3 linked regions of the Macaca fascicularis genome follow. The protein of the gene in region 1 interacts with the protein of each later gene in a pairwise test. Links are inferred from orthologs where the notes say so. Each region holds a gene or a part of one and is shown on either strand. Other genes may lie near its edges.

What was found.
Region 2: the proteins of RGS2 (region 1) and LRFN1 interact in a two-hybrid assay, tested with the Homo sapiens proteins (2 studies listed by BioGRID and IntAct). The link is inferred for Macaca fascicularis from reciprocal best matches to the Homo sapiens genes RGS2 and LRFN1.
Region 3: the proteins of RGS2 (region 1) and CTSB interact in a two-hybrid assay, tested with the Homo sapiens proteins (2 studies listed by BioGRID and IntAct). The link is inferred for Macaca fascicularis from reciprocal best matches to the Homo sapiens genes RGS2 and CTSB.

Annotation. Positions count from the first base shown.
Region 1 is NC_088375.1:50,401,242-50,405,383, reverse strand, and holds the start of RGS2 (regulator of G-protein signaling 2), read right to left. Parts: upstream 2,801-4,142; 5' UTR 2,767-2,800; coding exon 2,657-2,766; intron 1,664-2,656; coding exon 1,562-1,663; intron 1,460-1,561; coding exon 1,398-1,459; intron 832-1,397; coding exon 665-831; intron 411-664; coding exon 216-410; 3' UTR 1-215. UniProt on the Homo sapiens protein: Regulates G protein-coupled receptor signaling cascades. Inhibits signal transduction by increasing the GTPase activity of G protein alpha subunits, thereby driving them into their inactive GDP-bound form.
Region 2 is NC_088393.1:46,414,854-46,418,805, forward strand, and holds the start of LRFN1 (leucine-rich repeat and fibronectin type III domain-containing protein 1), read right to left. Parts: upstream 2,801-3,952; 5' UTR 2,615-2,800; intron 2,247-2,614; exon of another isoform or gene 2,098-2,246; intron 1,729-2,097; exon of another isoform or gene 1,620-1,728; intron 1,332-1,619; exon of another isoform or gene 1,181-1,331; coding exon of another isoform or gene 1,178-1,180; intron 1-1,177. UniProt on the Homo sapiens protein: Promotes neurite outgrowth in hippocampal neurons. Involved in the regulation and maintenance of excitatory synapses. Induces the clustering of excitatory postsynaptic proteins, including DLG4, DLGAP1, GRIA1 and GRIN1.
Region 3 is NC_088382.1:9,048,259-9,052,487, reverse strand, and holds the start of CTSB (cathepsin B), read right to left. Parts: upstream 2,801-4,229; 5' UTR 2,737-2,800; intron 2,394-2,736; exon of another isoform or gene 1,186-2,393; intron 1-1,185. UniProt on the Homo sapiens protein: Thiol protease which is believed to participate in intracellular degradation and turnover of proteins. Cleaves matrix extracellular phosphoglycoprotein MEPE. Involved in the solubilization of cross-linked TG/thyroglobulin in the thyroid follicle lumen.

The sequences.
Region 1 (4,142 bases):
TGCGTTCTGTACACAGTGAGAGAAGCTGTTCTGATACCAGCTTCTCCTAGTCAGTTACTGGCTTCCTGATTCACTACCCAGCTTTGAATCAATAGTTCTGAGCGATGTTTCCTGAACACCCAGGCTGAATTCAAGGTCAGTCTTTATGGCAGGTCAGTCTTTCCCCTTAGGAAAAAGAATGAAATGTCCTCCATTTCTGGGCTCCCTTTTACATTTCATGTAGCATGAGGCTCTGTGGTGATTTGAGGCTTTTTACACAAGTCCTGGTAGAATTCTGACTCCAAGAAACGGGGATAAGAGTTGTTCTCCATCAAGCTGTATACCCTTTTCTGGGCAGTTGTGAAGCAGCCACTTGTAGCTTCTTGTATATTCTGGGCAATCAGAGTTTTGGTTTGAAAATCTATGTTTATCTGAAATAAAACAAAAAAGTTGTTTATTTGGTGTTCAGAGTTAAAGATTAAAATTTAGTATTTGAAAACAAAAAATAAAAATTATGTGTGATTAGCTTTACTACCTAAGTCACAGAAGAACTTTAACATAACTGAAAGCTACAACGTGGGGGGACTTTTTACCCCTCCTTCTGGCCCCACTTTGCCCTTATTTTGTTTCACTTTTGTGCTAAAAATGTCCAGATTGTGCTCAGTTTAGGAACTTGTTTCCTTACCTCTTTTGGAGCTTCCTTTTCTATAAAATCAGTATATATTTTCCTTGCTTTTGAGGACAATTTTTGGGGTGATTTGGTTTTTTTGAAGTCTTCACAGGCCAGCCAGAATTCAATATTTTCTTCACAGAATTCCGACTTTAAAAAAGCCCTGAATGCAGCAAGACCATCTGAAGGGGGGAGAAAAGAAAGCATGCAGAATGTGAAGAACCGAGTGACCAAATGATTCTTTATGTTTCTCCTAGTACTTCTCCCTCACATTTTAATTATTTCTAAATGACAGCAATTTTCTAGATTTCGCTTAAACCTGTAATTCTCAAAATTTAGCTTTTTAAAGACGAAGATACCAGTAGGCAAAATGCTTATGTTGGCCCTCTGCTGCAAAAATATAAGTACTTTGCTGTCAATGCAAAGTAAATATTTATAGGGGAGACATAAATTCTCTGGGAACTAAGCCTCTTGAAAACATTGTATGCAATGGAAAAACTGACTCAACCTTAACTATAAGCAACTGCCACTTTAATTTTTTTAGGCTGATTTTCTTCCCCACCTGGAGGAAATACATGCATTTATTTCCATGGTTAAACCCTGGGAAATAAAGGAGAGAAAAACAGGCTTTATCCAATAGTGACTGCAGTCTAATCCCCCTCAGGCAAGCTGCTCTTTTGTTGTGTGGACCCAGCCTTTGCAGGCTTTTGCAATATTAGCAATGGCTAAAGTTCAAGAGTTAACTTACATTTGCTAGCTAGCAGCTCGTCAAATGCTTCTGACCACAGCTGTGCTTCCTCAGGAGAAGGTCTGCAAGAGAGGTTCTGCATGTTAGCTTATGCACATCAGAGTTCCCCTTTTCAGTTCAGCAACTAACTATTAACATTTGCAAGTACAGGATTCTCAACTTACTTGATGAAAGCTTGTTGTTTGCTTTTTTTGCCGGTTTTGGGTTTCCCAGGAGTAGAGGAATTTTGCAAGAAGTAGCTCAAACGGGTCTTCCAATCTTTTAAACTAAAACAAACAAAAAAATTTAAAAAAGATAATCACTAAGTAGCAACACTTGAATATGCTACTGCAGCTGAACGCATTTTTACCAAATAAAGTCACCCAGTAACTAGAGACAAACCGCATAAGGCAAAGCAAGAACTCTTCAAATAACAGTCTTATCCACTTAACATTTAAACCTCATGTACTGAGCAGTTTCATCCATTAAACTGATCGTATCTACTAGTTTTACAACTAAGGGCAGGGCTACCTACAATCACTAGGGTATTTTAAAGAATTGTTAATGAATTTAGTTCAAAAGGCAGATATTATTTCTGGCTTACAAAGGGCATCAGTTTGTTTGCAAGGTTAATTACAATTCCGAGGGGTTTTACAATTTAATGAAAAGGACAGACGTGGAACTGTCTGGAGCCGGCCCACGCTTCTCTCTTTAGAGCAAGAGGTTCTGGAGCATGCCAGAGACAGTGTACAAGGAGGTGGGTGACTGATTCCCCTGCGCTCTTCCTTCCCCACCTACAACACTTCTTTTAAGCAGACGCTGCAGAACAATTATTTGTTCCACATTCATGACTGGATGAGATCTGCTCTATAATTAAAAAACAAAAGTGGATTTTAAACGAGTATATTCACAACCAGCAAGAGCATCTCCTTCCAGGAGCTGTGTAAGCTGATGAGAACTCATCATGCAACGTATGCATGCTGGGGACGCGCTTCAGCCGCAGGATTCTGATGTCATTTTGAATGCAGGAGGACAAAAAGCCAACCCGCAATTTCTTAGCGCATCCACCACCGCCCTCATATCAACTATCTCCCTCGGTTCCTAAACTCTACCCGAGCATCACCCAGATTTAACCTTAACAAACTGACCTTTTCGATTTTTTTTTTCCCCTGCAGAGGCTCGGGCTAGTTTCCTAACATCAAAGCCGAGCCCAAAGTACCGCGTTTGCAGCTCGCAGTGTGTGGCAGGGGTGGCGGGAGAGGGAAGAAAGCCATACTCACAGGGTCCGTTTCATCTTTTCCCGCTTCTCCTCGCTCTTGTGGCCGCTGCCAGCGCTAGTGTCCATAGGTCTGCAGTCGTGTTGAACAGCCAAGAACATAGCACTTTGCATTATCGTCCTTCCGCTGGGGCCGCGGCTGTTGGCTGCTGGGCGTGCGTCGCAGCTTTTATAAGAAGCCGCGACTTGGGGGCGGGGCTTCGCGGCTCCGGCCCCGCCTCAAGAGGACGCGGATTGGTTGGTTGCAAACGGGCACTGGGATGGGGGTCAGCGCCCGCCAGCGGCAGTCTCGGTTAACGCCGAAGGGTCTGGAAGCCAGGGCGCTGCTGACGTCTGCGGCCCGGGCTTCTTGCGCACTCGGACTACATAGCAGCGGCCAGCTGGGGCCGGCGTGCGAGCAGACAGGGACTTTTCAGTGTGGGCTGTTGCCCACGACCTTTTGCTGAAGCGTGGCGGCCAGGCGGGGGCTTGCGGCGGAGGGAGAGAGCCGAAGTTGGCTGCGGCCTGGCGGAGGCTACGTCGCTCCCTCACCCACCCACCCTGACGGGCTCCCCAGCCCCAGGCCAGAGCGGCGATTCCCTGGCAGGAGGAGGTCGCCCGCCGCGAGGCCGGAGTTCAGTGGCCTGATTTTGAATGAAGAGTGGGATTTTTCTTCTTTTTTTGAGCGCGTTCCCTGACCCCGCGCCTCATTTCTTGTTTGCTGTCCTACTGTAGGGACTCATTCGACACACCCTGGTCAATGAACTGAGGCTACGGGAAGACCCTCCCCCGTTTCTCTCTGCCACTTAATTTAAGGAAGGTGTAACCTGAAACGTTGACTGCCCGGGGGCAGGGTGGGACCTGCTCTGCAGCTTGCTGGGGCGTCTTGAAACACGTTGGGAATGAACATTAGGGATTGAACAAGAGAAGGTGACTTTATCAGAAGACAGTGCTTTAATTGGATTTGCATTTTTGATCACTACTAGGCAAGTGGCTGGGTCTGTCTATAGGGTCATTCCTCAGGAGCCCTTGGTCACATCTGCCAAAATGGAAATCACAAGTTTCCTTATGGTGGGAGAGAAAGCTGGAGACACAGATATTTCAGAGCTGTAATGCACTAGAATCATGAGTTCAAGGAGTCAGGATTTCCTCATGAGTCATTCTTGTTTTGAGTTAGGATTTACCAGAACTTTTAATAACTGGCAAAAAGTAGGGGGAAGGAGGAGTTAACAGTTTCCTTCATTAAGTTTTTTGTTAATTCTTCAAGTATCATCTCTACTCCTGAAGGTTTTAAAACGACTTGATTGGTAAAAACAAATAGATTACCTCAACCACAAAATGAGTTGATTTCGTACAATATTACCAGAACTAGCCAATGAAATGTTTAAGCGGCTTTGCAACCAAGCTGCAGATATTTTCTCTAGATAGTATTCAACTTGTTAAAAGAAAATTGGAAATAGTTAATATATTCTTACGGTGAGCTGCCAGTAGTTGGAGCTCCAAGTTTGACT
Region 2 (3,952 bases), on another chromosome or scaffold:
GACCTCAAGTGATCCACCTTCCTTGGCCTCCCATAATGCTGGGATTACAGGTATGAGTCACCGCACTCATCCTACCGTTGTATTTTTAGCACCTTAAGCAGAGCCTGGCACATATTGGATACTCAAGAAATTTTTTTTTTTTTTTTTTTTTTTTTTTTTTTTTTTGAGACGGAGTCTCGCTCTGTGGCCCAGGCTGGAGTGCAGTGGCGCGATCTCGGCTCACTGCAAGCTCCACCTCCTGGGTTTACGCCATTCTCCAGCCTCAGCCTCCTGAGTAGCTGGGACTACAGGTGCCCACCACCGCGCCCGGCTAATTTTTTGTATTTTTAGTAGAGACGGGGTTTCACCGTGGTCTCGATCTCCTGACCTTGTGATCCGCCCGCCTCGGCCTCCCAAAGTGCTGGGATTACAGGCGTGAGCCACCGCGCCCGGCAAGAAATATTATTGAATGAATTAATGAACCAGCAGTTATCAAGCACAATCATTTTATACAGTGTGAAGGCTGTTGCTTAAATGCAGGAGGTAGTGGATGGGGTTTGTGACATGGCCCCACCCTGGTGAAATGGCCTTTCCTCAAAGCGTCTATGCCACACTGTCCTGGTCTTCCTCTCTCTGGCTGCCCTTTTCAATATTCATCGACAGTGTCAATTCCTTTGCTCAAATCCTGCCTCTCCGTTTCAGAGTTCTGTTCATTCCCTGTCTCCAATGATCCTTCACACCCTCCCCGCGCTAGACCCCTAACTCCCACAGCCTCAATTACCATCTTTGACGATTCTTAAATCTTGGTCTCCAGCCTCAATTTCTCTCTTAAGCTCCAGACCCGGGGTTTGTGTACCTCCTGGACCTCGCTGCTAGGCATCCACATTGGGCTTAGTATCTTCCCAACCTGCTTCTCCTCTGGGGCCCAATCTCCCGGCCAGAGGGCCTGGTTCTAAACTTTTCTCCCCCTTCCACTCCATGGCCAGCCAGTTTCAGGGCCCGTTTGCTCTGCCTCCAGGGCGTCCCTCCCACCTGCACCTCCTTCCCTCCCCACAGTCCCTCCCTTGTGCAAACCCCCCTCTTTCTTCCCCAACTCCTCCCCCAGCTGTCTTCCTGGACTCCTGACCCCGTTTCATTCCCTCCAATCCGCCCTCCAAGTATAAGCCAGAGAGACAGCTCTCCAAAACCCCCGACTCACCATGATCCTCCCCGGCTTGAAGCCCTTCAGGGCTCCCTAGTGCCCTCGGGACAAGTCCAAACTCTCTCAAGTGGCCAAACAACTGGCCTCTGCTCGTTCCTCACCCCTCCCTGTCTTCAACTCGACCCTCGACCCCGACTGGCTCTCTGAGTGCCTGTAACAAGCCAGATCTCTGTCACCGAGAGCCTTCTGAACACAGATCCCTCTGATTAGTTCACCCAGACCCAAGACAGTTTGTGGAACGCCCAGATCACAACCAAAGTCATAGCAACAACTCCCGTTTATTGGCGGCCTCCTTGATCCCGAGCGCTTTCTGTGCATTCTCTTCCCACCCTAACGGCTAGATCTCGCCTCGCCATTCCCATCGGAGAGAGCAAGCGGCAGGCTCAGAACAGCGCGATGAGAAAGCCGAGCCCCCCAAAGCCCGAGTGCAGACGCCTACCGGGGACAGCGTTGGGTGGGGCGGGCCACCCAAGGGGCGGGGAAGAGGAGGCCTGGAACGTCTGAATCGGGAACTGCGACTTCGCTCAGGGCAGCTGGGGTGGACGCGCGCTAGCCTGCCCCCTGCGGGCCTGGAGGCCCAATCCCAGGCTCCGCCGGGCCCGTTACCCTAGGCAACGCCGCGCGCGCCCCGCCCCCTCCCCGCCCCCCAGCCCCAAACCCCAGGCCTGACCGACTGCCCGTCACCCCCACGTCCGACCAATCCCGCCGAGGAGGGGGCGGGCCTCTTGGGTCCCGTTCCACCACCGTCGCTCCTCTCCTCGCCGGGACCCCGCCTTACTCGGCTCACACCTCCCGCCCTTCGGGCTGCCCTCGCCGCCCGTTGGCTGGCGCGCCGTTCGTCACCCGGGCGTGAGCTAATGCCGGCGCGCGGCGGCCCCCGTCGGGGCGGGGCCAGGGGCGGTGACGCACGGCGCGGTGACGCAGCGCGACGGCGGCGGCGGCGGCGGCGGCGGCGGTGGTCGGTGCGGGAGGAGGGAGGGGAGCTTGCGGGCCCGAGAGGGGGCGACGGCGGCAGCGGTGGCCTGAGGAGGCCCGAGCGGCGGCGGTGGTGGCGAAGGCCGAGGCGGTGAGTCTCGGGCCGGGCCGGCGCGGGGCGGCGGCGGGTCAGGGTGCGCGGGGCTCCCCTCAGGGCGACCCAGGCCGCGCGGGCGGCCCCGCCCCCTCAGGGACCCCGAACCGCGGGCGGCGGCGGCGGGCGGGTGCGGAGCGCGGGCTTCGGGGGTCGGGCCCACGGGAGAAGCCCCGCGCCCGTCCCCAGTCTCCCTCCTGGGCCCTGGCAGAAGCTTCTCTCCGAAATCCTCCCCGTGCCCTCGGGATTGCCGAAGGGCCGGGCCGGGGGCCCCTCCTCAGGACCCCACGCACATCCTCCTCGGAGAGCCCCGGAAACCCTGCCGAGCCCCCGTGTGCGCCCCGAATGGTCCCTGCAGAACCCACCTCTCCCGTGGAGCCGCCTCCCCGAGCCCTTCGAGGGTCTCGGCAGCCTTCCTTGCAGACCCCCACTCTTTGGCCCCGAAGCCCCCGTCGTCCTCCTGTCTCCAGAAATAGTCCTCGGAGGCCATTCCTCGTCCATTCCACAGCGTGGCTCTCATAGCTGCTCCAGGAGCCTTCCTCACGAGCTCTGCACACCTCCCCAAGGCTCCCTCCGGACCCCTGTCCGTTCCAGAACTCTCCCCCAGAGCCCTGCCTCTCACAGCCCAACAGGCTCACCCGACTTCCCCCTCCCAGATCCTAAGAATTTTCCCTCCTACTTACCCCATTCCAGAAACCTCCTTGGAGATTTTCCGCTCATACCCCCTGCATTTCTGAGTCCCCCTCCCAGAAGTCCTTCAGAATGCCCCCGAAGAACCCTGATCATCTTCCCTGAAGATCTCCTTCCCATATCCCCAAAATAAATCTTCCTCACAGACTTTCTGAAATGCCCCCAGATCCCGAAAACTCACCTGGAAGACCCCATCCCACTCCCCACCATATTGCAACCTTCTCTAATACACACTCCCCCTTCACGTATCCCTCTGGATCTTTCCACAGATCCCAAAAGTCTCCCCCAGAGGCCTCCTGTCTCCCCCTGGTCTCACCACCCTGAAATGCCCTAGAGATCACCCTCAGGTAGCCCAACCATCTTCCCCGGGACCCCCTTCCCCACCCCCATTCATTCTTAAAGTCTCCAGCGATTGCCTGAAATCTCCAGAGGACTCTCAATTTCATATTTCAAAAGCTTCTTCCAAAACCCCTTTTACATACTCCACATATTTTCCAGTCCCCCACATCACACGCTCCAAAAATGGTTTAAGGATCCTGAAAACTTTCCTCATGGTTTATCTCTCAGATCCCCTAGAACTCCCCTTCACTTACACTTCAGAATCCCCCCTTGCAGACCGGTTTTAGAGGAATTTTCTAAAGATCCTCCTCACAACCCCTGTAAGACCGTAAGATTCTCTTGGTGACCCCTCTGAGATGCAGGTTTTCAGGACCCGCCCCCCCGCCACACACACACACACACACACAGCTTAGAGACTCCAGCAAACCCCTGGAACCCTCCTGATGTTGTTCTTGAAATCCCTCCAAGACCTTCCTGACACCCCCAGAACCCCTTGAATCAATACTTCTGCCTTACTAAGGGACTTTTCTGGAGATGTCACTCCCTGAACTTGCTCACGCAGGTCCCCTAAATCCTCTAGAATCCCCTGAAGAAGACCCTCACACACACCTAATTTCCCCCCAAAATAACCCTCTGAGCTCCTGCTCTGAGAAAGTCCTAGAATTCTTTCTGAA
Region 3 (4,229 bases), on another chromosome or scaffold:
CCACCCCGGCGTGGTGGCTCACACCTGTAATCCTACCACTTTGGGAGGCTGAGGCGGATCACCTGAGGTGGGAGTTAGAAAACCAGCCTGGCTAACATGGTGAAACCCCGTCTCTACTAAAAATAATTTTTTAAAATGCCAGGTGTGGTGATGGGCACCGGCAATCCCAGCTACTTGGGAGGCTGAGACAGGAGAATTGCTTGAACCTGGGAGGTGGAGGGTGCACCACTGCACTCCAGCCTGGGCGACAGAGGGAAAGTCTGTCTTAAAAAAAAAAAGAAAGAAAGAAAGAGAGCATCACCGACAGACATCCCAAGGCACCCCTGAAACGTGATCTCCCTTCATTTCCCAATCCAACCAAGAGCAACAGAAAATATCTGTTACCCCTAAAATGGGTGCAACTTATCTTCCAACTCCCAGGTCCCGCAGCTAGGGAAAGAAAAGAAGCTGCCTAGGAGAAGAGCCTCACCAAACTGCTAAATCAGCACCACATGGGCCGCTTCAACCTGGAGCCAAAGGGCTGCCACCCCTCGCCGCCTGACCAGTTGACAACAGGGCTGTCCTGAGCCAACATCCAGGAGAGCTGTTGGGGCGAGAGCTGTGCCAGGGCCGTGTCTGGTCTGCGTTGCCACCTGGGCCAAGAGACCTGTGCCTTTCCACCAGGGGATACCCCAGCTCCGGGACAAATGACCAAAAAGGAGAAGCCTCTGCTCTCCAGGAGACGTCTGACTCTGTCTTTGGGAAAGCTACACAGGGTGGGCGGCCCAGCCCCTTTCTCCAGGAGCTGGCGGGTTCTAAGTCACCATCACCAAGAAGAAACAGTTCTCCGCCAGGCCAGGCATGGTGACTCATGGGGAGGCCGCGGCAGGCAGATCACCTGAGGTCAGGAGTTCGAGATCTGCCTGGTCAACATGGTTAAAACTCATCTCTACTAAAAATGCAAAAATTAGCTGGGTGTGGTGGCAGGCACCTGTAATCCCAGCTACTCGGGAGGCTGAGGCAGGAGAATAGCTTGAATCTGGGAGGCGGAAGTTACAGTGAGCCGAGATTGCGGCACTGCACTCCAGCCTGGGAGACCGAGCGAGACTCCATCTCAAAAAAAAAAAAAAAAAAAGAACCGATGTTATGGAAGAGAAAGAGCAGCCCTTAACCAAGCCAACGCCCTCTTAGGCCTCTTCGCCTTACCTTCCTGAACGTTTGGACTGAAAGAGGGTGCATCTCAGCTATCCTCTCCTCCGGCGGGAGGCAGTGGGGATCAGTTTTTCTAGGCTACAAAAACGTGCCAGGTCTGCCTTTGAGCCCCACAGCATCGCTTCTCCAGTGGGTTTGGGGGTCTCTCCTCCGTTAGGAGGAGGGGTGTAGGGCCTGCGCTAGGATCCTTTTCCTTGCCAGCCTGCTGGCTTCCTCGATGCCTGGGGAAGGGGGTGACAGAGGCCCACCAAGAAGCCAAGTGCAATTCACTTCCAGCTGGGTCACCCACCCCAGCCTGCCTGCAGCGCCCCACACCCAGGCACCTACTGCTCCCCAGAGGCCAACTCCCCCCGGCCTCCAGGGCTACTAACCGAGGGGGAGGTAGGGCCCCAGGGACTCTGCCCGGCTTCCCTTTACTGGAGTCCAGGGGGCAGGGAGCGTCCCTGGCCTTCTCCCCACCCGGCATCCAATCGCCCATTCGCCTCTTGGTTTCGCAGCTTGGTTTCTCTTCCTGTTTATGGATTTAACTCCGTGCGGGTTCCTCCCCAGCCCACCCAGTGCCAGATCCCTGTTCAACAGGACCTGTCTTCTGGGGTCCCAGGAATTGTGTGGGATCTTGCGCAGAAAGTTGGCCAGGCAAATCCTTTGGAACGAGGGGGAAATAAACCGAAAATAGATGCCGGCAGATGCGATAATCTCGGCAGTTTGTCCCGGGGACACCGAGGCCCAGGCGCTGGGAGCGCGACCCCAGGCAGCAGCCTCCGGACCTAGCCGAGCTCTTCCTCGCAGGCGCCTCCCTCGGGGCTCCTGGCCGCCTCCCCGCTCCGGGGGCCGGGGTCCCGCGCACAGGCCGGGGAGGGGAGCAGAGGGGAGGGGGCTGGCGGGCGGGCCGGCGGGGCTGTTTTCTGCTTTTCTTGTCGACGCTTCGGAGTGCGCGGGCTCCCACCCCAGCCCGCCAGTCAGGGTCAGTCCCGAGGGTCCTGGCTCCCCACCTGCCCCCAGGAACGCCGCGGGGCCGCGCCTAGGCCCGACCGGGGACGCAGAAGAACCCGTCTCGGCGGCCGGTGGCACCGTCCCCGCCAAGGTCACTTCCGCCGCGGTGACCCCGCGCCCCCGGCACTCACCGAACGCTGCCGCCGAGAGTCTGCAGCCCAGCCTGCGCGCCGCGGAGCCGGTGCCGTTGCCGGAGCCCTGCAGCCGCCGTAGCCTGGGCCAGCCCCGGCCCTAAGTACCCTCCCGGTCCTGCGCCACGTGACTACCGCGCAGCCCCGCCCGTGCCCTCCCGCTGCCCGCGCACCCCGCTTCCCAGCCCCCACCTCCTCCCGCCACCTTCCGCCGCCCGCGCTCCCCTCTTCCCGGCCCCGCACCCCCCCACCCCTTCCGCCGGGGGTCAGGGGACACCGCCGGGGAGGGCGGGGGCCTGAGCGCGCGGGTTGGGGAAGAGGGGCTTGGAGCCCTGCGGGCCCTGGGTGGCGAAACGCTGCGAATTGGGGCCAGGGGATGGGGAAAAAGCCCCGAAAGGTGGTCCCAGAGCCCCCACCCCACCTAGAAAAGTCCCCCCGCCTCGCGGGACCGCTTCCGCCAGAACCGGCGCCGGGGATCCCTGCCTGCCGGGTTGGCGGGGGCGGGGTGGGGGAGAGGGCGCCGTCGCTTATTTCATTCATCAGAAGCCGCTGCAGGGGCTGGGGGTGGCGAGGCTGTGGACCCTACAGAACAGTCTTTAAACGCTCCACTTTGTTGTTCTGAGAACGTACCCACAAAACACTCCAGCTACGTACAAATAGAAAAGGGTGGCTGTCACCGCGAAGGAACCTAGGAGCTGCGTCAGGATTTCTACAGAGGAGGAGAAGGACCTTGGGGGGCGGAAATCGGCTTGGCACAGGAGTCCCGGGAGACCTGCTCCGAGAGGACTGACAAAGTGAACATTTACTTGGGGTTTATTAGCGGGAGGGCCTGGAGGGGAGATGCTGGGGTTGGCTCAAGACACCCTCCTCCAGACCCTCCCCAAACAGCTCTAATCCTAAAGACAAACCTGCAAGGCAGGCATGACCCCTGTATTCAAGAGGCTCAAAGAGGCTGGGCGCGGTGGCTCACGCCTGTAATCCCAGCACTTTGGGAGGCCGAGGCGGGCGGATCACCTGAGGTTGGGAGTTCAAGACCAGCCTGACCAACATGGAGAAACTCCGGCTCTACTAAAAATACAAAATTAGCCGGGCGTGGTGGCGCGGAAGGCTGAGGCAGGAGAATCACTTGAACCCGGGAGGCGGAGGTTGCGGTGACCCGAGATCATGCCATTGCACTCCAGCCTGGGCAACAAGAGTGAAACTCTGCCTTAAAAAAAAAAAAAAAAAAGTTCAGAAGAATCATCGTATTTTATCCAGGCTGTGGCGACAGTAAAAAGGCAGTAGGACTCCAAGGGACGTGGCTCCCTGCAGCCGGGTCGTCAGCTGTCACACAGCCCTGAGCCTGCCAGGGTCTTCAGAGTCATACCTGTATTCCCGCCTGGTTAGTACCAGACTAAGGATAGGAGTGGAAGGAAAAAATAATCTCTGGAGCCCAAACATGGTCACTAAGCCCCCAGCGGAGTGGGATACCCAAGGAACTGAAGACCAGAAGGCTGGAGGTCAAGGTGGTCCCAACTGCCTGCTCACCCTAGCCCTATCCTGAGGGCCATGGACTCCAGACTCCAAATCAGTGCTGGGGCATGCTGTCTTCCATATGGAAGTCAAATCATTTCAGACCTCTATAAAGAGCTCATAAGATAGCCAAAATGGGGAGGACACAGCCAGAACCAGCATAACTCTTTCCCCTCTCGCATCCTTAGAGTGTGACAGAAGGTATGCAGAGCAGAGTGCTTGATATGCATTATGGCTGTTTGATGGAATTTTCTATCAGTGTCACATAAATCACTTTTGAGAGGTAAAAATAACTCTTGAAACAAAAGAAACAGGCTACGTGTGGTGGCTCACGCCTGTAATCTCAGCACTTTGGGAGGCTGAGGCATGCAGATCACCTGAGGTCACGAGTTCCAGACCAGC